Stegostoma tigrinum: one gene and its partners. The protein of the gene in region 3 purifies or fractionates together with the protein of the main gene of each other region. This does not show direct contact. Links are inferred from orthologs where the notes say so. Each region holds a gene or a part of one and is shown on either strand. Other genes may lie near its edges. The genes, in order: rpp40, ibtk and pop7.

The links.
Region 1: the proteins of pop7 (region 3) and rpp40 purify together in Homo sapiens (co-immunoprecipitation; 4 studies listed by BioGRID and IntAct, with this or other methods). This does not show direct contact. The link is inferred for Stegostoma tigrinum from reciprocal best matches to the Homo sapiens genes POP7 and RPP40.
Region 2: the proteins of pop7 (region 3) and ibtk purify together in Homo sapiens (affinity purification with mass spectrometry; 3 studies listed by BioGRID and IntAct, with this or other methods). This does not show direct contact. The link is inferred for Stegostoma tigrinum from reciprocal best matches to the Homo sapiens genes POP7 and IBTK.

Annotation. Positions count from the first base shown.
Region 1 is NC_081355.1:11,661,578-11,668,512, forward strand, and holds the start of rpp40 (ribonuclease P protein subunit p40), read left to right. Parts: upstream 1-3,920; 5' UTR 3,921-4,074; coding exon 4,075-4,191; intron 4,192-6,789; coding exon 6,790-6,934; intron 6,935-6,935. UniProt on the Homo sapiens protein: Component of ribonuclease P, a ribonucleoprotein complex that generates mature tRNA molecules by cleaving their 5'-ends. Also a component of the MRP ribonuclease complex, which cleaves pre-rRNA sequences.
Region 2 is NC_081357.1:38,714,667-38,722,675, forward strand, and holds the start of ibtk (inhibitor of Bruton tyrosine kinase), read right to left. Parts: upstream 3,094-8,009; 5' UTR 2,976-3,093; intron 1-2,975. UniProt on the Homo sapiens protein: Acts as an inhibitor of BTK tyrosine kinase activity, thereby playing a role in B-cell development. Down-regulates BTK kinase activity, leading to interference with BTK-mediated calcium mobilization and NF-kappa-B-driven transcription.
Region 3 is NC_081398.1:7,834,185-7,842,206, reverse strand, and holds the start of pop7 (ribonuclease P protein subunit p20), read left to right. Parts: upstream 1-4,998; 5' UTR 4,999-5,233; intron 5,234-8,022. UniProt on the Homo sapiens protein: Component of ribonuclease P, a ribonucleoprotein complex that generates mature tRNA molecules by cleaving their 5'-ends. Also a component of the MRP ribonuclease complex, which cleaves pre-rRNA sequences.

The DNA of each region.
Region 1 (6,935 bases), on a different chromosome or scaffold from region 3:
AAAGGTGGTAAGGAAAAGCCGAGGAATTATAGACCAGTGAGCTCGAACAGTTCATCCACTTCACCAACACCTTCCACCCCAACCTTCAGTTCACCTGGGCCATCTCCAGCGCATCCCTCACCTTCCTGGATCTCTCAGTCTCCATCTCAGGCAACCAGCTTGTAACTGATGTCCATTTCAAGCCCACCGACTCCCACAGCTACCTAGAATACACCTCCTCCCACCCACCCTCCTGCAAAAATTCCATCCCCTATTCCCAATTCCTCCGCCGCATCTGCTCCCACGATGAGGCATTCCACTCCCGCACATCCCAGATGTCCAAGTTCTTCAAGGACCGCAACTTCCACCCCACAGTGGTCGAGAACGCCCTTGACCGCGTCTCCCGCATTCCCCGCAACACATCCCTCACACCCCGCCCCCGCCACAGCCACAGCCGCCCAAAGAGGATCCCCCTCGTTCTCACACACCACCCCACCAACCTCCGGATACAATGCATCATCCTCCGACACTTCCGCCATCTACAATCCGACCCCACCACCCAAGACATTTTTCCATCCCCACCCCTGTCTGCTTTCCGGAGAGACCACTCTCTCCATGACTCCCTTGTTCGCTCCACACTGCCCTCCAACCACACCACACCCGGCACCTTCCCCTGCAACCGCAGGAAATGCTATACTTGCCCCCACACCTCCTCTCTCACCCCTATCCCAGGCCCCAAGATGACTTTCCACATTAAGCAGAGGTTCACCTGCACATCTGCCAATGTGGTATACTGCATCCACTGTATCCGGTGTGGCTTCCTCTACATTGGGGAAACCAAGCGGAGGCTTGGGGACCGCTTTGCAGAACACCTCCACTCGGTTCGCAATAAACAACTGCACCTCCCAGTCGCAAACCATTTCCACTCCCCCTCCCATTCTTTAGATGACATGTCCATCATGGGCCTCCTGCAGTGCCACAACGATGCCACCCGAAGGTTGCAGGAACAGCAACTCATATTCCACTTGGGAACCCTGCAGCCCAATGGTATCAATGTGGACTTCACCAGCTTCAAAATCTCCCCTTCCCCCACCGCATCCCAAAACCAGCCCAGTTCATCCCCTCCCCCCACTGCACCACACAACGAGCCCAGCTCTTCCCCTCCACCCACTGCATCCCAAAACCAGTCCAACCTGTCTCTGCCTCCCTAACCTGTTCTTCCTCTCACCCATCGCTTCCTCCCACCCCAAGCCGCACCTCCATCTCCTACCTCCTAACCTCATCCCACCTCCTTGACCTGTCCGTCTTCCCTGGACTGACCTATCCCCTCCCTACGTCTCCACCTATACTCTCCTCTCCACCTATCTTCTTTTCTCTCCATCTTCGGTCCGCCTCCCCCTCTCTCCCTATTTATTCCAGAACCCTTACCCCATCCCCCTCTCTGATGAAGGGTCTAGGCCCGAAACGTCAGCTTTTGTGCTCCTGAGATACTGCTGGGCCTGCTGTGTTCATCCAGCCTCACATTTTATTAGCCTGACATCAGTGGTGGGCAGATGTTGTAGAGGATCCTGAGGGACAGGATTTACATGTATTTGGAAAGGCAAGGACTGATTAGGGATAGTCCACATGGCTTTGAGCATGGGAAATCATGTCTCACTAACTTAATTGAGTTTTTGTAGATGTCACAGAGGTCTAATGAAGGCAGAGTGGTGGATATGATCTATATGGATTCAGTAAGGTGTTCAATGAGATTCATCATGGTAAACTAGTTAGCAAGGTTAGATCACATGGCATAAAGGGAAAACTAGCAGTTTGGATACAGAACTGACTCAAAGGTAGAAGACAGAGGGTGGTGGTGGAGGGTTGCAATTCAGACTTGAGGCCTGTGACCAGCTGTGTTCCACAAGAATCAGTGCTGGGTCCACTGCTGTTCGTCATTTATATAAATGATTTGGATGTGAACATATTGTTAGTAAGTTCGCAGATGACACCAAAATTGGAGGTGTAGTGGACAGCGAAGAACATTACCTCAGAGTACGAAGGGGACAAATCAGACAGATAAATAGGTGGAGGAATGGTAGATGGAGTTTAATTTAGACAAATGTGGACTGCATTTGGAAAGGCAAATCAGGGCAGGACTTACATACTTAATGGTTAGGTCCTGGAGGGCATTACTGAACAAAGAGACCTTGGAGTGCTGGTTCATAGTTCCTTGAAAGTAGAGTAATAGGTAGACAGGATGGTAAGGAAGGCGTATGGTATGAAAACTGAAAGAACTGTGGATACTGTAAATCAGGGACAAAAACAGAAGTTGCTGGAAAAGCTCAGCAGGTCTGGAAGTATCTGTGAAGAAAAAATCAGAGTGACCCTTCCTCAGAACTTTGCTTGCCTTTACTGATCAGTTGGGAGAGTCATGTTGTGGCTGTACAGGACATTGGTTCGGCCACTTTTGGAATACTGCATTCAATTTCTCGACTATAGGGAAGATGTTGGAAAACTTGAAACAGTTCAGAAAAGATTTACAAGGATGTGGCTAGGGTTGGAGGCTTTGAGCTAAAGTGAAAGGCCAAATAGACTGGGGCTATTTTCCCTGGAGTGTCGGAGGCTGAGAGGTGACCTTTATAGAGGCTTAGAAAATTATGAGGGGCATAGATGGGGTGAGTAGGCAAGGTCTTTTTCCCAGTGTGGGGAGTTCAAAATTAGAGGACATAAGTTTAAGGTGAGAGGGGAAAGATTTAAAAGAGACCAAAAGGGCAAGTTTTTCTCAGAGGGTGGTGTGTGTATGGAATGAGCTGCCAGATTAAGTGGTGGAGGATGGTACATTTACAACATTTAGAAGACATCTGGATGGGGAGATGAATAGGAAGGGTTTACAGGGATATGGGCCTAACAATACTAGATTAATTTAGGATATCTGGTTGGCATGGATGAGTTGGACTGACGGTTTCTGTGCTGTACATCTCTCTGACTCTATTCAGATGATTCAATAGAATCCCTACAGTACAGAAACAGGACATTCAGCCCAACACATCCATACCACTCCTCTAAACAGCATTCCAACCAGACCCATCACCCTGTAACCCCCCTGATTTTGCACATCCCTGAACGCTATGGGCAATTTAGCATGGCCAACCCACCTAGCCTGCACATCTTTGGACTGTGGGCATTTGGAGGAAACCCACGCAGACACAGGGAGAATGTGCAAACTCCACACAGACAGTCGCCTGAGGCTGGAATCAAACCCGGGACCCTGGTGCTGTGAGGCAGCAGTGCCAAACATTGAGCCATCGTGCCACCCCGTGATTGTGACTGTGTTTGTTACTGGAATTTTTTGATGCTGTGGAAGCTCAGTCTTTGACTATGGTTAAGGTAGAGATTGATAGATTTCTAACTACCAGGGGTGCGAAGGATTTTGAGAATAGTCTGTGGGTGAAAGGCAGACAAGTGTTTGAATTGTATTAAATGCTGGAGCACGCCCGTTTCTAACTGAAGATTCATCCCCAGGACATGGCTGTGGGCAATCTTTTCACGGGCACCTCTGTTTACGAGTCAGAAAAACATTGGTGGTGGGAAACAAATGGCTCTTTGTCCTGACAGTCGAGAATTATTCGACTGGGTAGTGAAGAGAAAGGGGGAGGCCTGGAGGATGGAGCAGTTAGCTGACAGAATAGATTGATCCTTGGGGAATACATTTGACTAAAATTGGCCAATTACCTCGGTACCTTGTCCTGATTGCTACCAATAACCATGCTGGAAAATGAATGGGTTCTAAACTGTTTAAGAAAAACAGGGCTCAGCCCATTGATCATGAAAAGGTTCAATTCTTACTTTGGGAATGCGAGTGTTGACTTGAGACAGGCCCTGAACATTCAAACGCGGCTCTTCTTCCACCTTGGCCTCCAACCAGCAGAGGGTGCACTCTGCCCTCCTCTCCAGAGGCGCCAAAGGGAGCGCCAGAGCTCGCGGACGACGGGAAGAAGCGGAGAGGTTCTGAGTGGGGAAAGTCGTTAACTGGCGCGTGGAGCTGTTGCCGAGGGGAGAAGCGGTAAACGGCCCTCGCGGACGGCGCGAGGAGCTGTGGCCCAGTTTGGGAAGATGCTGCACAACGTGGAGAAATGCGCGCGGCACCTAGTGGTTAGTGAAAGATCCAACTTCAGGCACAGTAAATCAAAACACCATAAACACGTGCAGGCTCATCACTATAACTACCAGGTGGGTGATTGACAGGGGCAGGAAAACTTTATGACTACCTGGTGGGAGATTGACAGTGGGCGGAGGCTAATCGTCATGCTTCTTTGATGGGTGATTGACAGGGGGCGGAGATTAATCGCCATGTTTATCTGATGGGTGATTGACAGGGGGTGGAGTCTGATCGCCATGACTACCAGGTGGGTAATTGACAGGGAGCGGAGAACTCATTACTTTCCCTTTTATTCTAACGGAACATCGGTGCTAGGTCCACTTCTGCTTATCATTTATATAAATCATTTAGATGACAATATAGAAAGCACGGCTAGTAAGCTGCAGATGAAACCAAGATTGGTGGTATAGTCGACACTGAAGAAGGCTGTCTAAAATTACAAAGAGATCTTGATCAGTTCATTCGATGGGCAGAAGAGTGTCAAATGGGGTTTAATTTGGATAACTGCATGTATTGTATTTTGGTAAAACAAACAAACACAAAACTTATACAATTAAAATAGGAGATAACACGGTGTGAAGCTGGATGAACACAGCAGGCCAAGCAGCCCTAGAGGAACAGGAAAACTTGACGTTTTGGTTGGGAAACTGCTTCAGAAATGTTTCGGACAGAGTACAGTAGCTTCTTTAAGGAAGGCATCCTTAGAAGAGGTTTCGCAGCAGGGTTAAAATTGTTACAGAGATAGTAGGAACTGCTGATCCTGGAGAATCTGAGATAACATGGTGTGAAGCTGCATGAACACAGCAGGCCAAGCAGCATCAGAGGAGCAGGAAAGTTTGAAGTTTCGGGTCGGGACCCTCTTCATTTCTGATTGCATTCATTGCTTAGATCTGTGAGTATAGGAGTTGTGATGTTATGTTGAGGTTGTACAGGATGTTGGCGAAGGCTCTTCTAGAGTACTGTGTTCAGTTCAGGTCTCCCTGTTATAGGAAGGATATTATTAAGCTGGAAAGTGTTCGAAAGAGATTTACCAGAATGTTGCTGAGAATGGAGGGTTTGAGTTGTAAGGAGAGGCTGGATACATTTCTCACTGGGGCATAGAAGGTTGAGAGGTGACATTTAAAGAGTTTTATAAGATCATGAAGGGAGTAGATAAGGTGAATAGCAGGTGTCTTTTCTGTAGGGTGGGCGGTTTCAGGACTAGGGGCACATTCTTAAGGTGAGAGGAGAAGGATTTAAAAAAGACATGAGGGGCAATTTTGTTTCACAGAGAGTGGTTCGTGTGTTGAATGAACTTCCGAGGAGATTGTGGATGTGGGTATAGTTACGATTAAGAAATATTTAGATAAATATGTGAATAAGAAATGCTTGGAGAGATATGGGCCAAGTGCAGGCAAGTGGGACTAGTTTAGTTGGGATTATAGTCGGCATGGACTAAAGGGTCTGTTTCAGTGCTGTATAACTCTATAACTTTAAGTCTATAACTGCCCACGTCTGTGTTTGACAGGGGTACAGTTAATAAATCTTCAGCTAAATGGTAGAAAAAATGGAGGTGCCCATTGTGTTTTAGTTAGTTACCAACAATGCTTCACTTGGATTGTCTCCTGTATGGTTTCGTGATTATTTTAAACCTTTTTATGTAGGAAAGAGTCCAGGTTGTCTGGACCAATGAAGCTCCAAAGAAATATCTTTGACCCGAAATAGAAACTCTCTTTCTCTCTTTTCTGTTAGTGCCATAATATTGAAGGCTGAAACAGCAACAAGTGAATTTGTATTTATATACCACCTTTTTAACAGAATGGAACAGTACAAGAAATGGGCAATCAGGGCTGGAATGCTTGTGCTGTTTTACTATTTCAGAACCACTTCCGTCAGCAGTTAAATTCACTGTAAACGAAAATGGCATTGTGTTTGTGCATTTTTTCATGTTTGTGTGTGTTTTTGATGTTCAGAAATGACAAATGTTAAAGGTAGCAATTGAATAGTAAGTGCCCCCAGTGGGAATTACTTAGCAACATCATTAGAAGCTCCAAGTAACACCTGTTCAATGGGGTTCAATGTTGTAATGCATTTGCTAAGTTGGCTGCATTGAGTGTCTTGCTTTTACAGTCAACGATTTTGATATGAAAGCAATGGCAAACCTTGTGTAACTTTTTTTAGGGTTTTATTTGTTTTAGAGATGAATATCTTCAACAAGCTATAATGGTTGATGGCCAACTGTTGTAGTTTTTAAAAGGTAAAGATGCCATAGTCCAAATGGATGAGAGGGCTGCTGTGTCGTTAGAGAGAGATGACTGGTGGTGGTTTAACCTGGGGGTCACCACACCTGAGATGGGCCGAAGAGGTTGAAAAAGAGAGTCCTTTGTGGTAAGCTCAGCTGGCTAGCTGGCTGATTTGCGATGCAGAATTACACAATACATGTTCAGTTACCACATTGGCTGAGGTTACCACTTGATCGTGCCTTCTTAGCCTTGCACCTCACCTGAAGCATGGTGACCCTAAGGTTAAACTCACCATCAGTCATTCTCTCTAATGAGAAAGCAATCCTGTGGCCCTCTGAGACTATGGCAACTTTACTTTTCCCTTATGAAAATATTACCCACATTGATGGATTTTACATCTTATTTTTGTTGAACTTCTTTTGTAGCTGTTTAAATATTTTCTTGCAGGTCTCAATTTTGATACCAGAATGTGGAGTGATACCACCAGGAGTTACTGCTGCCTGCAGAAATTTAGGAGAGTATTATTTGGTAAAGCAGTTGCCACTTCATCGAATGCTTGAACCTGACTTCATCAACAAATTTGTGAAGCAAGG
Region 2 (8,009 bases), on a different chromosome or scaffold from region 3:
TGCCACATTTTAAATTCTCATTTAACTCAAAAGCAATACCCCTTATCAAGCCGTGTCCACTTATTTTACTCTCCCCAAAAGAAAATATCTGCCTGATATCTACTTGCCATTTTCTCTCAGAATAGTAAATAAAAAAACCAAAAAAAAAAAACTACTGGAAATCATGTACGGAAACAGAAGTTGCTGAAAAAGCTCAGCAGGTCTGGCAGTATCCGTGAATAAAAAAAATCCAGAGTTAATGTTTTGGGTCCAGTGATCTTTCCTCAGAACTGTTCTGACAAAGGGTCACCAGACCCAAAATGTTAACTCTGATGTTTTCTTTATTCACCGATGCTGGCAGACCTGTGGAGCTTTTCCAGCAACTTGTTTTTGTTCTCTCAGAATATTGGTTTAATAAGCAAGTCTTTCTGCTAAATTCTAATAGCTTTTATGCTCAAGCTGTCAACTTTTCCTAATAAGACAACCTCTTCATTCCAGGAATCATTGAACCTTCTCTGAACTGTTTCTAACACACTTTTTTTCCCCCAAATAAGGAAAGCAAAACTGTACAGTGTACCTCAGAAGTGACCTGACAAGGCTAGGTACAGCTGCAATAACACGACAAATGAACAAAAAACACTGGTCATAGAGTCCTACAGCACAGAGATGTGCCCTTCAGCCTAAACTGGTCCATGCTGACCAAAATATTCATCCACACTTACACCATTTCCTTGCACTTTGCCCATATCCTTCTGAACCTTTCCTATCCATGTATTCAGCAAATGCCTTTAAATGTTGTTAATGTACCCACTTCAACCTCTTCAGCTGGCAGCACATTCCATATGCCTACCATCCTGTGTGTAAAAGAAGTTGCCCCTCAGATTTTCACGTATTCTTTCCCCTGTTACCTGAAACTGATGCCCGTCAGTCCTCAATTTCCCAAGCCTGGGAAAAAGACCGAGTGCATTCACACTATCCATGCTTCTCATGATCTTGTACACTTCTATAAAAGGTGACCCTTCAGTCTCCTGTGCTCTGAAGAAAGACGTCCTGGCTTGTCCAATGTCTCCATATAACTCAGTCCCTTGAATCCTGGCAACATCCTTGTAAATTTCTTCTGCACTCTTTCCAGCTTAATAACGTCCTTCCTATAGCAAGGTGAACAAAACCGAACACAATACTCCAAGTGCAGCCTCACCAACACCCTGTATATCCCCACATAAAACTTCCCAACATCTATACTCAATGCCTTGACTGATAAAGACGATGTGCCAAAACCCTTTTTCACTGCCCTGTCTATCAGACTCCACTTTCAGAGAACTGTGCACCTGAACTCCAAAAGGTCCCTCGTTTCAATACACTCCTTAAGGCTCTACCATTCACCATGAAACTCCTACCTTGATTTGACTTTCCAAAAAGCAACACCTCATACTTATCAATATTAAACTCCATTTTCCATTTCTGAGCCCAGTTCTCCAGCTGATCAAGATCCTACTGCAATTTCTGATAACCTTCCTCACTGTCCACGATACAGCCTATTTTTGTGTCATTCGCAAACTTACTAATTATGCCTTGTACATTGTCATCCAAATCATTGATATAGATAAACTGCAATGGGCCTCCAGCCCGACAAGCATCCTTCCACTATTACTCTCTGCTTCCTACCATCAAGCCAATTGTATATCCAATTCACCAACTCTTCCTGGATTCCATGCGATCTAACCTTCCAGAGCAGCTACCGTATGGAACCTTATCAAAGGCCTTACTGAAATCCATACAGACCCATATCCGTCCCACCCTGCCCTCATCAACCTTCCTAGTCACTCCAAAGAGCTCTAACAATTCTGTAAAGCATGATCTCCCACACATGAGGCCATACTGACTACTCCCAGTCAAACCCTGCCTTTCTAAATTCATGTATATCTTATCCCCCAGAATCTTTTCAACTAATTTACCTACTACAGATTAAGCTTATTGGTCTATTAATTCCCAGTTTTTTTTCTTTGCAGCCCTTCTTGAATAAGGGCTGCAACATTCGCTACCCTCCAGTCTTCTGGGATGTCAACCATAGCTAACAATAGTGCAAATATATCAGCCAGGGCCCCCTACAATTTCTTCTCTAGCCTCTTGCAGAGATTTTAGATATATTTGCTAAGGACCAAGAGATTTATCCACCTTCATATACTTCCAACACCACCTCTGCTGTGATATGAGCTGCCCCCAAGATAATGCCACTAACTTCCCCAAGTTCCCAAATCATCTCACCTTTCTCCAAAGGAAACACAAGAGAAATATTCAATGATGACCACACCCATCTCCTGCAGTTCCATACATACAGGTTTTTAACTGATCTCTGCATAAATTGGCCAATGTGCAGACACTTGCCTTGTTTGGGTGACAGGAAGAAAGGCAGTGGTGAAGAATTGAATCTCCAGTGGCATTTTTATTTCTGATCACTACTCATGTTAGATTCCCATCTAACATACAGAAGTCTGTGTTCAAATAGGAAGGAGGCCAAGATATGGGAAAGATTTTGCCAAGGAGGTCGTCAGAAGAGAACTAACATTAAATGTTTTGGACTGGTAAAATCTGAACTGTAATTATAGAATTAACACGATTATTACAGTATCAAAACTCCAAGTACGTGTTGCATCGAAACGGAAACAGAACAAGCACTGCAGGCGGTCATATCTATACTAAAACACTCACAGTACTATCCTGTACCAGATCTTTAATCACAATCTCATACCATCAGAAGTTTCTGCAGCCTCGGCCCTGGCCGTAGACGTGGCACAAAGAAAAACACATGCAACATTCGCCCTGGGGAGTGAAGTCAGAAAGAGGAGGGAGAAGAGAGCAGAAAGGACCTGGTCTCCTGGCTCATTGTCCCCCCCGTGACCGGGTCTGCCAAGGGCTGGGCGGCGGAGGGAGGTGTGGGTGGCGGGGGAACAGGGGAAGAACTGTCTCCCTCAGGCCACACCAGCCCTGTTCCTTACCTGTCGCTAGATGAAACGGACACTGTAGAGGGAGAGAGTGGCGGTTGCTGGAGCAGGGAACGAGGACACGGTAACCATGATCACAGACGGCTCCGGCTGGAACTGAAATGTCAGCAATGAGCCGCACTCCCCAACATCATAAACTCCCATTGGCTATGGCTTCAAGGTTCCACTGCTGATTGGCTGTGCACGACACCAACAGTCTCCCTGGTTGCAGCCTGTCTCCAGGTGGAAACTGACAGTCTGGCAGTTTCTAATAATCTGAGTGACGGACAGTCTTGCTTTCTCTGACAGTCTGAGTGACGGACAGTCTGGCTGTCTATAAAGGTCTGAGTGAGGACAGTCTGTATGTCTCTAACAAGTGAGTGACAGATGGTCCGACTGTCTCTAACAGTCTGAGTGTGAGACCACCTGAGTGACTGACAGCCTGGCTGTATCTAACAGTCTGAGTGTATGACCGTCTGATTGTAACAGTCTGAATGACTGAGAGTTTGACTGTGACAGTCAGAGTGGCTGATAGTCTGGCTGTCACTAACAATCTGAGTGACAGCCAGAGTGGCTGACAATCTAGCTGTCACTACAGTCTGAATGACTGACAGTCTGGCTGTCTCTAACCATCTGAGTGAAAGTGACAGGCAGTCTGAGTGTCTAACAGGCTGTTTGAGTAGTTCACAATCTGAGTGACAACCTGAATGACTATTTCCAACAGTTTGCATGTTTTACAGTCTGAGTAACAGTGACAGATAGTCTAAGTAACTGACAGACTGAGTGTCAGACTGTCTGTCACAGTCACTGAGAATGCCTGAGTAACAGAGATGTAGGAAAGATGTTATTAAACATGAAAGGGTTCAGAAAAGATTTACAAGGATGTTGCCAAGGTTTGGAGGTGGTGGAAGCTGGTACAACTAGAATGTTTAAAAGGCATCTGGCTGGATATATGAATAGTAAGGGTTTAGAGGGATATGATCCAAATGCTGGCAAATGCGACTAGATTAATTTAGGATATCTGGTCAGCATGGAAAGGCTGGTCCGAAGGGTCTGTTTCCGTGCTGTACGTGTCTATGACTCCATGTATCTATACGGAGTGCATTAAATGCTTTAAAAAATATACTGTCGCATATAGACATTTCTATATGCTGCTGGGCCTGCTGTGTTCATCCAGCTTCATACTTTTTTATCTTGGATTCTCCAGCATCTACAGTTCCCATTATCACTCATTTCTATATTTTTATCCAGTTTTCGATAAAATGCATCCACATGAGGGATGTTTTGTCATCAAGTGTTTTTTTTTCCCTTTTCAGTTACAGATCCAGAAGAGTAGGAGTGTTGATACTTTTACTTCTCTGGGTCATGGACAGCTGAAAATACAGAGTGGCTAATTGATTGTCTGATCACACAGCATTATTATTCCACACTAAAACACATGGCTACCTTAATTTCAAATAGCCTTCAATTTCTCAGAAAACCTACATCCATTTGTCTCATAAATTGGTTCATTCCCTAAACAGATATAGATTTAGTTGGGAAGTGTTTCCAGTATGTTTTGTTTTATGTTATCCATTAACAAATAACAATGCCTCCTCACTTCTGTCACCTAAACTAGTATGAATATAAGGGGCCGAGGTAACAAATTTCAATATGTTTAAAATCTAGATATTGCACTTAGAAAATGTAATGTTAAAACACCACTCAGATCTCATTCAGAGTTTTTGGTTCAGTATTTGGCACCTTTGTCTGGGTTTAAGCAGGATTAAGAGGCCATTTAATCTCTCCTACTTCTATCTCTTGTTTATAAACTTCAAAAGAACATAGGCTGATGGAATGGCTGGACACAAGGTAAATAAAATGCAATAAAGTAAATTGTGAGTTGATACACATTTGCAGGAAGAATGAAGATAGATTGTACATAGAGATTTTACATGCTAAATGACACAATTTAACAGAAGTGAAAGAAGACAGAGATATAAGTGTGTTTGCACAAATCTCTGAAGGTGACAAGACAGGTCAACAAAGCAATGAACAAATTGTACAGGATCCTGGGCTATTAGTAAGAATGCAGAGTACAGAAATCAGAAGTTTAAGCCAAATTTATAGAAAGCACAAATAAAACACTAGTCCTCCTTAGTTGCAGGATTGTAACCTATTCTGGGCACCTCACTCAAGAAACTATGAAAAGGTTTCACCAAGAATATAAAAGACCAGGACTAGTCTAGCTCTGTGGATGAGAGATTCCAGTTATTTAACAAGACCAGAGAGGCTGGGGTTGTTCTCCTTTGAGCACAGAAGGCTAAGATGAAATTTAGATGTGTTTAAAAAACTAATGAATGTAAATAAGTAAGTAAAAAGAAATGTCTTTCAAATGGGTCAAAGATCAATCTTTTGAGATAAGTTATTTTTCGCAAAAGGACCAGCATTTTTACTGAACAAGTGGTTACAATTTTGAATGCACTGTGTAATGAAACACTGGAAACGGTCTAATCCGTAACCTTCACAAGATAATTTGATAAAAAAAACAGATGTTGTAGTAATATAGGGAAGGAGTGGAGAAGTGGAATTAACAAGATCACACCTTTGGTTACAAACCCCATACAGACTGACAGCTTTCATAAGATGGATTTCCCAACAACCAAAGGAAAGAACAGCAGGACAGGATTTCACCCTTTAAAATACTAACTGTAAAAATGCGAAGTAAAATCGACACAGATCAACAATTAACAGGCAATTAATATATCAAATTAATGAAAAAGCTAACTTTCACAATAACTAAGGAATGCAACTGAAGTATGTCTTATGAAACCTTTTTAACTACACAGAATAAAAACTGAAAGAACTATGGATGCTGTAAATCAGGAACAAAAACAGAAGTTGCTGGAAAAGCTCAGCAGGTCCGGCAGCATCTGTGAGGAAAAAATCAGATTCAACGTTTTGGGTCTGGTGAGGAGGAAGGGTCACTGGACCCGAAATGTTAACTTTCAAAGAAAAATGTCAAAGCTTTCTATGCTCGGTTTGAACAGAATGCCAGCAGTGCTGTGCCACCTGCCGTGATAGACCCAGACACACCTGTTCTCTTGGTCACTGCTGCAGACGTCAGATCGGTTTTCCTGGGAGTCAACCCAGGGAAAGCGATGGACCCAGCCAGTGTCTCTGGCTGTGCACTCAGATCCCGTTCAGACCAACTGGTGGAGGTATTCACTGACATCTTCCACCTCTCCCTCCTACAAACCGAAGTCCCTACCCACTTCAATAAGACCACCACCATCCCAGTACCTAAGAAAGTACATGCAATGTGCCTTAATGACTACTGCCCAATGGCTCTGATCTCAATAATCATAAAGTGCTTCGAGAGGCTGGTCATGGCCCACATCAACTCCAGTCTCCCAACCTGCCTCAATCCCTGACAGTTAGACTAACATGTAACAGGTCCCCAGTGGATTCTATATCCCTAGCTCTCCTCTCATTCCTGGAACATTTGGACAACAAGGACACCAATGTCAGACTTCTGCTCACTGACTACAGCTCCGCCTTCAACACCCATCATCCCCTCCAGGCTGATCTCGAAATTCCGCGACCTTGGTCTCGGCTCTGCCCTCTGCAATTGGATCCTCAGCTTCCTGACCCACAGACTGCAATCAGTGAGGATAGGTAACTGTACCTTCTCAACAATTACACTCGACACCAACCTCCCCCCCCCCCAAGGATACATCTTCAGCCCCCTACTCTACCCCCTGTACACCCACAGTGTGTTGCCAAATTCTGAATGAATGCCATCTACAAGTTCGCTGATGACATCACCGTAGGGGGACAGATATCTAATGATGACGAGTCAAAATACGGAAAGGACATAGATGGCTTGGTGATGTGGTGCAATAAGAACAACTTCACTCTCTCAATGTCGGCCAAACTAAAGAACCGATCATTGACTTCAAAAAGAAAGGAGGGTAATGTGCCAGCATCTACAGAAACAGAGCAGAGGTTGAGAGGATGAAGAGCATCAAGTTCTTCAGAGTGACAATGACCGATAACCTGTCCTGGACTTCCCACAGAGATGCGACAATCAAGAAGGCACAACAATGCCTCTTCTTCCTCAGACAGTTCAGCAAATTTGGTATATCCCTAAGGTCCCTCAGCAACTCCTACAGATGCACAATTAAAAGCATACTGTCCAGGTGCACAACAGCCTGGTATAGCAATTGCTCAGCCCAGGATTGTAGGAAACTACAGAAGGTGGTGTGCACAGCTCACACCATCATGGAAGTCAATCTTCCATCCACGGACTCCCGTTACAAGGCTCGCTGGCATGGAAAAGCTGCTAACATCATCAAAGACACACCGCACCCTGGTAATGATCTCCTACAACTACTTCCTTTCAGCAGAAGATACAAGACCTTGAATGCATGCACCAGCTGATTCAGGAACGGATTTTTCACTGTAACTATTAGACTGATGAATGGCGTCTCTAACCTCAAATAATTCCTGATCTTGTTGACATTGATCTCGCCCAGCACACGCCCTGTGCAATGTAACCTGTACGCCTCTGACTAAGTCTTTTTGGTCAAGTATCCTTGCTTACTACAATCTTCCTGTACCACTTGTAAACAAAACTTTTCACTGAGCTTTGGTACACATGACAATTAATCAATCAAAAAAAGAGTTCTTTGATCAATATCATCCTGCAATGGCCTTGGCACTCTGTCAGGACCACAATTTTATATAATACTTACTTCATTGCATATAGTTGCCCACCTGAATTTTGGATGAGATATATTTTATGCGGAAAGGCGTTAAGATGATGATGATGGTAAAGAAGACATAGGACTTGAGGGTGGCAAGGGCATAGCTTAGACTTGGAATCAATTGGAATCAATGCAGATCAAGAGATGATTGGCCTTTTGCAATGGATAGCACTTGGGTTTTAAAGTCAGCTCAGTTCAAAAGAAACAGATTTTAGTGATTTTTTTTACTACATTTTATTCAAAACCTATTTGATATTGTCCCGAAACATAATTAACAGTAATCCTGCAGCACTCTGAAAAT
Region 3 (8,022 bases):
GAATCATAGAATCCCTACAGTGTGGAAGCAGCCATTTGGCCCATCGAATCCACATTAACCCTCTGAAGAGCATCCCACCCAGATCCACCCCTTTACACTATTTCTGCATTTCCCACTGCCAATCCACTTAGCCTGTACATCCTTAGACACTGTGGGCAATTTAGCCTGGCCAGTCCACCTAATCTGCACATTTTTGGACTGTAGGAGGAAACCAGAGGAAACCCACGCAGACGTGGGGAAAAAAGTGCAAACTCCACACAGACAGTTGCCCGAAAGTGCAATTGAACTCATGTTGCTGGCGCTGGGAGGCACCAGTGCTAACCACCAAGCCACCATGCCACCCTAACTCCACAGGGAGTAAGTCTACTGTTTAAAGATGCACGCTAGGAGAAAACAGGGAACTAAGATCGCTGCCAGATGCTGGCTGACCTCTACCAGAGTCACCCAGGGTTTTCCAAGATGGAGATGCTGGCAAGAAGCTATGTCTGGTGGCCAGGGCTGGATGATGACATAGCTACATTGGTGGAGCAGTGTCCAGAGTGCCAACAAGGACAAAAATTGCCACCAGCAGCACACCATATGCATAGGAATGGCTGGCTAAACCCTGGACTCGGTTGTATATCAACTATTTCGGTCCTTTCTTCGGCTCAATGTTCCTGGTCATTGTGGGCACCCATCCAAAGTGGTTGGACATGCATAAAGTTCATTCAGCAAACTTGGGGATGATAATTGAGAAACTGCGAGCATCATTTGCGATACATGGAGTCCCAGAAGTATTGGTCACGGACAACGGGGTGTCACTCACTGGCAGGAAATCTGAACATATCCTGAAGTTCAGTGGCATTCGGCACACATGGACAGCTCCATAGCATCCATTGCCTAATGGCCTAGAGGAAAGAGCGGTCCAAACATTGAAGGCAGGCTTAAACAAGCAGCCTACAACGTCAGCTGATACCACACTGTCCCGGTTCCTATACAACTATAGGACAACCCCACATGCAACAGCAGGGATAGCTCCAGCAGAGTTGCTGATGTGGAGAAGACTCCCCACCAGGCTTGAACCTGATATTTCCAGACATAGGGGGCAGGGTGAAATGGCAGCAGGAACGTCAATGCTGGCCACATGCTGCCTCTAAGTGAGAGAGACAACTTCATTTACGGAATGAGGTTTGGTGTCAGAACCATGGAAATGGCCCTGTATGGGTACAAGGCGAGGTTGATGTGAGGTCAGGTCAAGTTTGTGTAGGCGTTATAGTCTTGAACAAACACGTGGATCACCTGAAAGCTGTTATCTTTTAAACAGGGCAGGAGCAAAACATACCTGGCTCCTCTGAACAGCCATAAGGCCTGGCAGAAACTGCAGGTTCTCCCCCTTTGTCTAGCGTTGAGGAAACCCCAGAGTTCGAAATAGAAGCAGCCTCAATACTTGCCACCAGAAGAAGAGATAGAGACTGTTCCGAGATGTCCCGGATTGAAGAGACGGGCCCTGGTCCGGTACATGCTGCCTGGGTCCAAGTCCAAGTCAGAGGAACCAGAGGAACATTGCAAGAGAAGCTGCAAGTGGCAGACCAGTCCTACATTCCTGGACTTGAGTTTTGTGTATGTGTGTGTGTGTGTGTGTGTGTGTGTGTGTGTGTGTGTGTGTGTGTGTGTGTGTGGGGCGGGGGGATGGGGTGCGGGGATGGTGGGGGAGGTGGGAGTGGTTGGGACCAAGTGGACCTCATTGACCAAGAGATCATTGATTGGCGTTGTTAACCTATAAAGCCTTGGCTGATTAAAATAACCAGGAGATTAGAATCTCCTCAGTTGAGGATTGACTGTGAATTAGTAAACAAGGGGTGACTTAGTGACAGGACCCAGTCTCTGAGCAGTTATTTCAGATTGGGAAGTATTGATTGATAAAGGGACTTAGGTGCCCTTGTATACCAGTCATTGAAGGCAAACATACAGGTGCCACAAGCACTTAGGAAGGCAAATGGTATGTTGACCTTCATTCACAATGGGCAGCACCATGGCTTCGTGGTTAGCACTGTTGCCTCACAGTACAGGAGACTAGGGTTCAATTCCACCCTCAGGCAACTGTCTGTGTAGAGTTTGTACCTTCTATCTGTGTCTGTTTGGGTTACTTCCAGGTGCTCTGGTTTCCTCCCACAGTCCAAAGATGTGCAGGTTAAGTGGATTGGCTGTGTTAAATTGCGCACAGTGTCCAGAGATGTGCAGGCTAGGTGAATTAGTCAATGGCAAACATGGAGTTACAGGGATTTGGTAGGGCATGTGGGTCTGAATGGGATGCTCTTTGGCAGGTTGGCATGGACTCAATAAGCTGAATGGCCGGCCTCCATATTGTAGGGATTCTATGATACAACAGATTGGAATCCAAAAGCAAGAATGTCTCACTGCAGCTGTACAGTGCTTGGGTGAGACCGTGCCTGGATTATTGTATGCAATTTTGGTCTCCTTACCTAATAAAGAATGTACTTACCATACAGGGAGTACAACAACGGTTCAACAGACTTGTTTTTTGAGAAGAGATTGGGATATTGTATTCTCTGGAGTTCAGAAGAACAAGAGACGATCTCATTAACACATATAAAATTCTGACAGGGCTGGATAGAATGGATACAGAGATGATGTTCCCCCTGACTAGGGGCTCCAGAACAAGGGGTCACAGACTCAGGATTCCAACTAGGCTATTTAAGATTGAAATGAGGAGAAATTTCTTCATTTAGAGGATGATGAACCTGTGGAATTCTGTGCCAAAAATTCTCTGAGCTAATTAGCCTACTCTTCCTCCTAGTTTCTGTGTTCCATGTGCTAATGTATTGTACGATGTAATACTGACATCAGTAGTCATGTGCTGTGGAGACTCTGAGAAAAGAGAAAGGGAGGAACCGCACTACAGAGCAGTATTTTCTACAACAGTATCCAGATAAAAATGCTTATTGGAACTCCAGAGAATTGGGCAATAGTCAGTCATAGATGAAGTAGAGACTGAAATGTAGCAAACTCAGAGTAGGGACAGTTTTGTCTCAGAGCAGTCTGTCCAAGCCGCACACCTGAAATTATCTCACAATTCCTTCACAGATGCTGGATAGACCCCTGAGATTCCCTCCCTAACAGCACTGTGGGAGTACCTACACCACATAGACTGTAGTCGCTCAAGAAAGCATCTCATCACCACCTTCTCCAGGGCAAATAGGGATGGGCCTCAAGTGCTGGTGTAGCTAGTAATGTCCTTATCTCATAAATGAATAGGATAAAAGTCTCAGGCACAATCAAATTTACAAAAAGTAGACTTATTTCACTGGTTTATGGGACAGGATTTTGAGAAGAGTTGCTTTCCTGTGGAAACTTTCAGAAACACCGGGCAAGTGCCTTACAGGTGCTCTCCAAGTACAGTCACTGTTGTAAAGTAAACACGGCAGCCAATGAATGCACAGCATGATCCCTAAAAAAGGAATCTAATAAAGGCTAGACAATACATTCTTCATGCTACTGACAGACATTGGTCAGCACACCAGGTATCACTCCTCTGCTGCTGTTCGAAATCATAGAATTCCCACAGTGTGAAGCAAGCCATTTGGTCTACCAAGTCCACACTGACCCTCCAAAAAGCATCCCACTCAGACTCACCTCCGTACCCTATCCCTGTATTTCCCATGGCTAATCCACCTAACCTGCACATCCCTGGACACCATGGGCAATTTAGTATGGCCAACCAACCTAACCTATACATCTTTGGACTGTGAGATGAAACCAGAACACCCAGAGGAAACCTGTGCAGACATGAGGATAACATGCAAACTTCACACAGACAGTCACCCAAAAATGGAGCCAAACCTGGGTCCCTGGCAGTGGGAGGCAGAAGAGCTAACCACTGAGCTACTATGCGGTCCACCATGCCCATGGGATCTTACACCTTATAGCATCTCAAAGTATGACCCCGACACCACCTAAATTGAAAGCAGGATGATTGTATTCAACATTTTAATAATTAATGTTTGCATTAAAGATAAACATGTATGAAAGCTTATGTTTTTAAACTATTGTATAAAATGTCAATTTTGGTACCTACTCGGCCTCGCTACTCAGTTCCACATAAGAGGAACACGTTACTAATGAGGAGTTCTGAACAGGGACCTCTTCTGAGCACTAACCCTTCCACTCCAACTCCCTAATTGCAACATGACCTCTCTTCCCCATTCACTGACTTTCCGATTGCAGTTCTCCTAGATTGATGTGACCTCATGATATGTGGTATCATGGTCACATCAAGGTACCCTCCCCTCCCAGTGAACTGGGACCGCAATGTGAGATGGGGTCCCCCAGGTTAGAACCAGCCTTGATCCCGGTTGTTTGTCTGGTGGGGCTGCGACACCCCACATGATGCCCATCTAAGACAGCAGCTGGGGCCTGAGTTTTCAATGTCTCAATCAAAAGAAATCACCACTAACATTGCAGCACTCCCTTGGAATCATACTGGGATGTCAGCCTTGATTTTTCATGGAATGTTGGGACCTTCAAGCTCCCGCTGAGACAAAGTGAAAAGTTTGAAAGCATGGAGAGTGTGACTGACTGGAACAATCTACATTGCCCGAATGTCCTCCATCTATATCGCCATGCTTGTGCAACCTATGGGGCCGATAAATGCAATCAGAATGAAGACAGAGTTGATGGATCGAATGGCTTGTTTTGCCCTTGTCACTGTTGCAAAATGAATTACGTCAGTTCTGTGAAGCCGAATCACCTCCAGAGAGCCGATTCCATCTGTGACTGGCAGGGATTCTTTCTTACACACTGCACAAGGCACTGCTTGGACTTAGATTTCAAGGCACAATCTCAAATCCTGGAGACCTTGTGGGTCTGTATTGAATCTGCAGCACACCCTAATGGCCCCCAGTGGTAGTGGATGCAAGTGAATGTGCACAACAAACATATTTCCAGCGCAGAAACGCCTCCGTTGTTTTAAAATAGAGACAGTAGGAACTGCCGATGCTGGAGAATCTGACATAACACGGTGTGAAGCTGGATTAACGCAGCAGGCCAAGCAGTATCAGAGGAGCAGGAAAGTTTGACGTTTCGGGTCGAGACCCTTCTTCAGAAATGTTTTAAAATACACATTCTTTCACAGGCATCACTGTTGTTGCTGCATACTTGTTGTCCTTGAACTGGGTGCCTTGCTACGCCATTTCAGTTGGTGCATGGGTCTGGAGTCACATGTAGGCCGGCAGAGGTAAAAATGGCAGATTTTCTTCCCTTAAGGATGTTGTGAACTAGTGGATTTTTTGACAACTGACGATAGCTGTCACAGTCATCATCAGTAAGGGTATCTTTATATCATAGAACATAGAACATAGAACAGTACAGCACAGAACAGGCCCTTCAGCCCACAATGTTGTGCCGACCATTGATCCTCATGTATGCACCCTCAAATTTCTGTGACCATATGCATGTCCAGCAGTCTCTTAAATGACCCCAATGACCTTGCTTCCACAACTGCTGCTGGCAACGCATTCCAAGCTCTCACAACTCTCTGTGTAAAGAACCAGCCTCTGACATCCGCTCTATACTTTCCACCACCCAGCTTAAAACTATGACCCCTCGTGTTAGCCGTTTCTTCCCTGGGAAATAGTCTCTCTGGCTATCAACTCTATCTATGCCTCTCATTATCTTGTATACCTCAATTAGGTCCCCTCTCCTCCTCCTTTTCTCCAATGAAAAGAGACCGAGCTCAGTCAACGTCTCTTCATAAGATAAGCCCTCCAGCCCAGGCAGCATCCTGGTAAACCTCCTCTGAACCCTCTCCAAAGCATCAACATCTTTCCTATAATAGGGCGACCAGAACTGGATGCAGTATTCCAAGTGCAGTCTAACCAAAGTTTTATAGAGCTGCAACAAGATCTCACGACTCTTAAACTCAGTCCCCCTGTTAATGAAAGCCAAAACACCATGCGCTTTCTAACAACCCTGTCTACTTGGGTGGCCATTTTAAGGGATCTATGTATCTGCACACCAAGATCCCTCTGTTCCTCCACACTGCCAAGAATCCTATCCTTAATCCTGTACTCAGCTTTCAAATTCGACCTTCCAAAATGCATCACCTCGCATTTATCCAGGTTGAACTCCATCTGCCACCTCTCAGCCCATCTCTGCATTCTGTCAATGTCCCGCTGCAGCCTACAACAGCCCTCTATACTGTCAATGACACCTCCAACATTCGTGTCATCTGCAAACTTGCTGACCCATCCTTCAATCCCCTCATCCAAGTCATTAATAAAAATTACAAACAGTAGAGGCCCAAAGACAGAGCCCTGTGGAACCCCACTCACCACTGACTTCCAGGCAGAATACTTTCCTTCTACTACCACTCGCTGTCTTCTGTTGGCCAGCCAATTCTGCATCCAAGCAGCTAAGTTCCCCTGTATCCCATTCCTCCTGACCTTCTGAATGAGCCTACCATGGGGAACCTTATCAAATGCCTTACTGAAGTCCATATACACCACATCCACAGCTCAACCCTCATCAACGTTTCTAGTCACATCCTCAAAGAACTCGATAAGGTTTGTGAAGCATGACCTACCCCTCACAAAGCCGTGTTGACTGTATTTGATCAAGCCATGCTCTTCCAGATGGTCATAAATCTTATCCCTCAGAATCCTTTCTAACACCTTGCAGACGACAGACGTGAGACTTACTCGTCTGTAATTGCTGGGGATTTCCCTATTTCCTTTCTTGAAGAGAGGAATTACATTTGCCTCTCTCCAGTCCTCAGGTACGACTCCAGTGGAGAGCAAGGATGCAAAGATCTTCGCAAGTGGCGAAGCAATTGCATTTCTCGCTTTCCAAAGCAGCCGAGGACAAATCTGGTCCGGGCCTGGCGACTTGTCAATCTTAATGTTTGACAAAATTTTCAGCACATCAGCTTCCTCTATCTCTATCCATTCCAGCATGCACACCTGCTCTTCAAAGGTTTCATTCACTACAAAGTTCGTTTCTTTCGTAAAGACAGAAGCAAAAAACTCATTTAGGGCTTCCCCTACCTCCTCAGACTCCACACACAAGTTCCCTATGCTATCCCTGATCGGCCCTACTCTTTCTTTGACCATTCTCTTATTCCTCACATAAGTGTAAAATGCCGTTGTGTTTTCCCGGATTCCTTCTGCCAAGCCTTTCTCGTGCCCCCTCCTGGCTCTCCTCAGACCATTTTTGAGCTCCTTCCTTGCCTGCGTGTAATCCTCTCTAGCTGAGCTTGACCCTAGCTTCCTCCACCTTATGCAAGCTACCTTCTTCCTTTTCACTAGAAGCTCCACCGGTCTCGTCATCCAAGGTTCCTTTATCTTACCCCTTCTTGCCTGTCTCAGAGGGACATATTTACTCATCACTCGCAACAACTGTTCCTTAAACAGTCTCCACATGTCTATAGTGCCCTTACCATGGAACAATTGCTCCCAGTCCATCCTTCCTAACTCATGTCTAATCTTTAACTTATCTTAGTTCCTCTTTCTGTGTCTCCTTCCAGCCCTGTGGTCATCCAGGGCACTGTCTTGCTCCTGCCCAGCACCGGCCTCTTCCCATTCTTCCCACAATGCCACTGGGACCCTTCCAGGGAAAATTCCAGGGAGGAGCTGGCCTTATCCTGCAATAATGAATTGAATTAAAATTCTTGCTATGTGGGATTTGAACTTTATCCATCAAAACATTAAACTTAAAGCTCTCCAGTAATGTTACCACTAGTCCATTACTCCTCACTCAGTCTACATCAGACCTCTGTCCCACATGAGTCTGCTCCCATAGATTCTCAACACACTCTATCAATGTACCTACATCTATACTTCTCCCTCATACCTAGGTTCCCCATAGCATCAACACTATTTGCTTCAGCTATGGGAGTGAATTCCATCTTCTCCCCACTGCCTGCATCAAGAGGTTTCTGTGGAATTCTTCCCCGGATTTAATAGTAACTGTCTTATATTGATGGCTTACCTACAAGCAGTAACACCTTCCTCACATCCACCCTGTCCA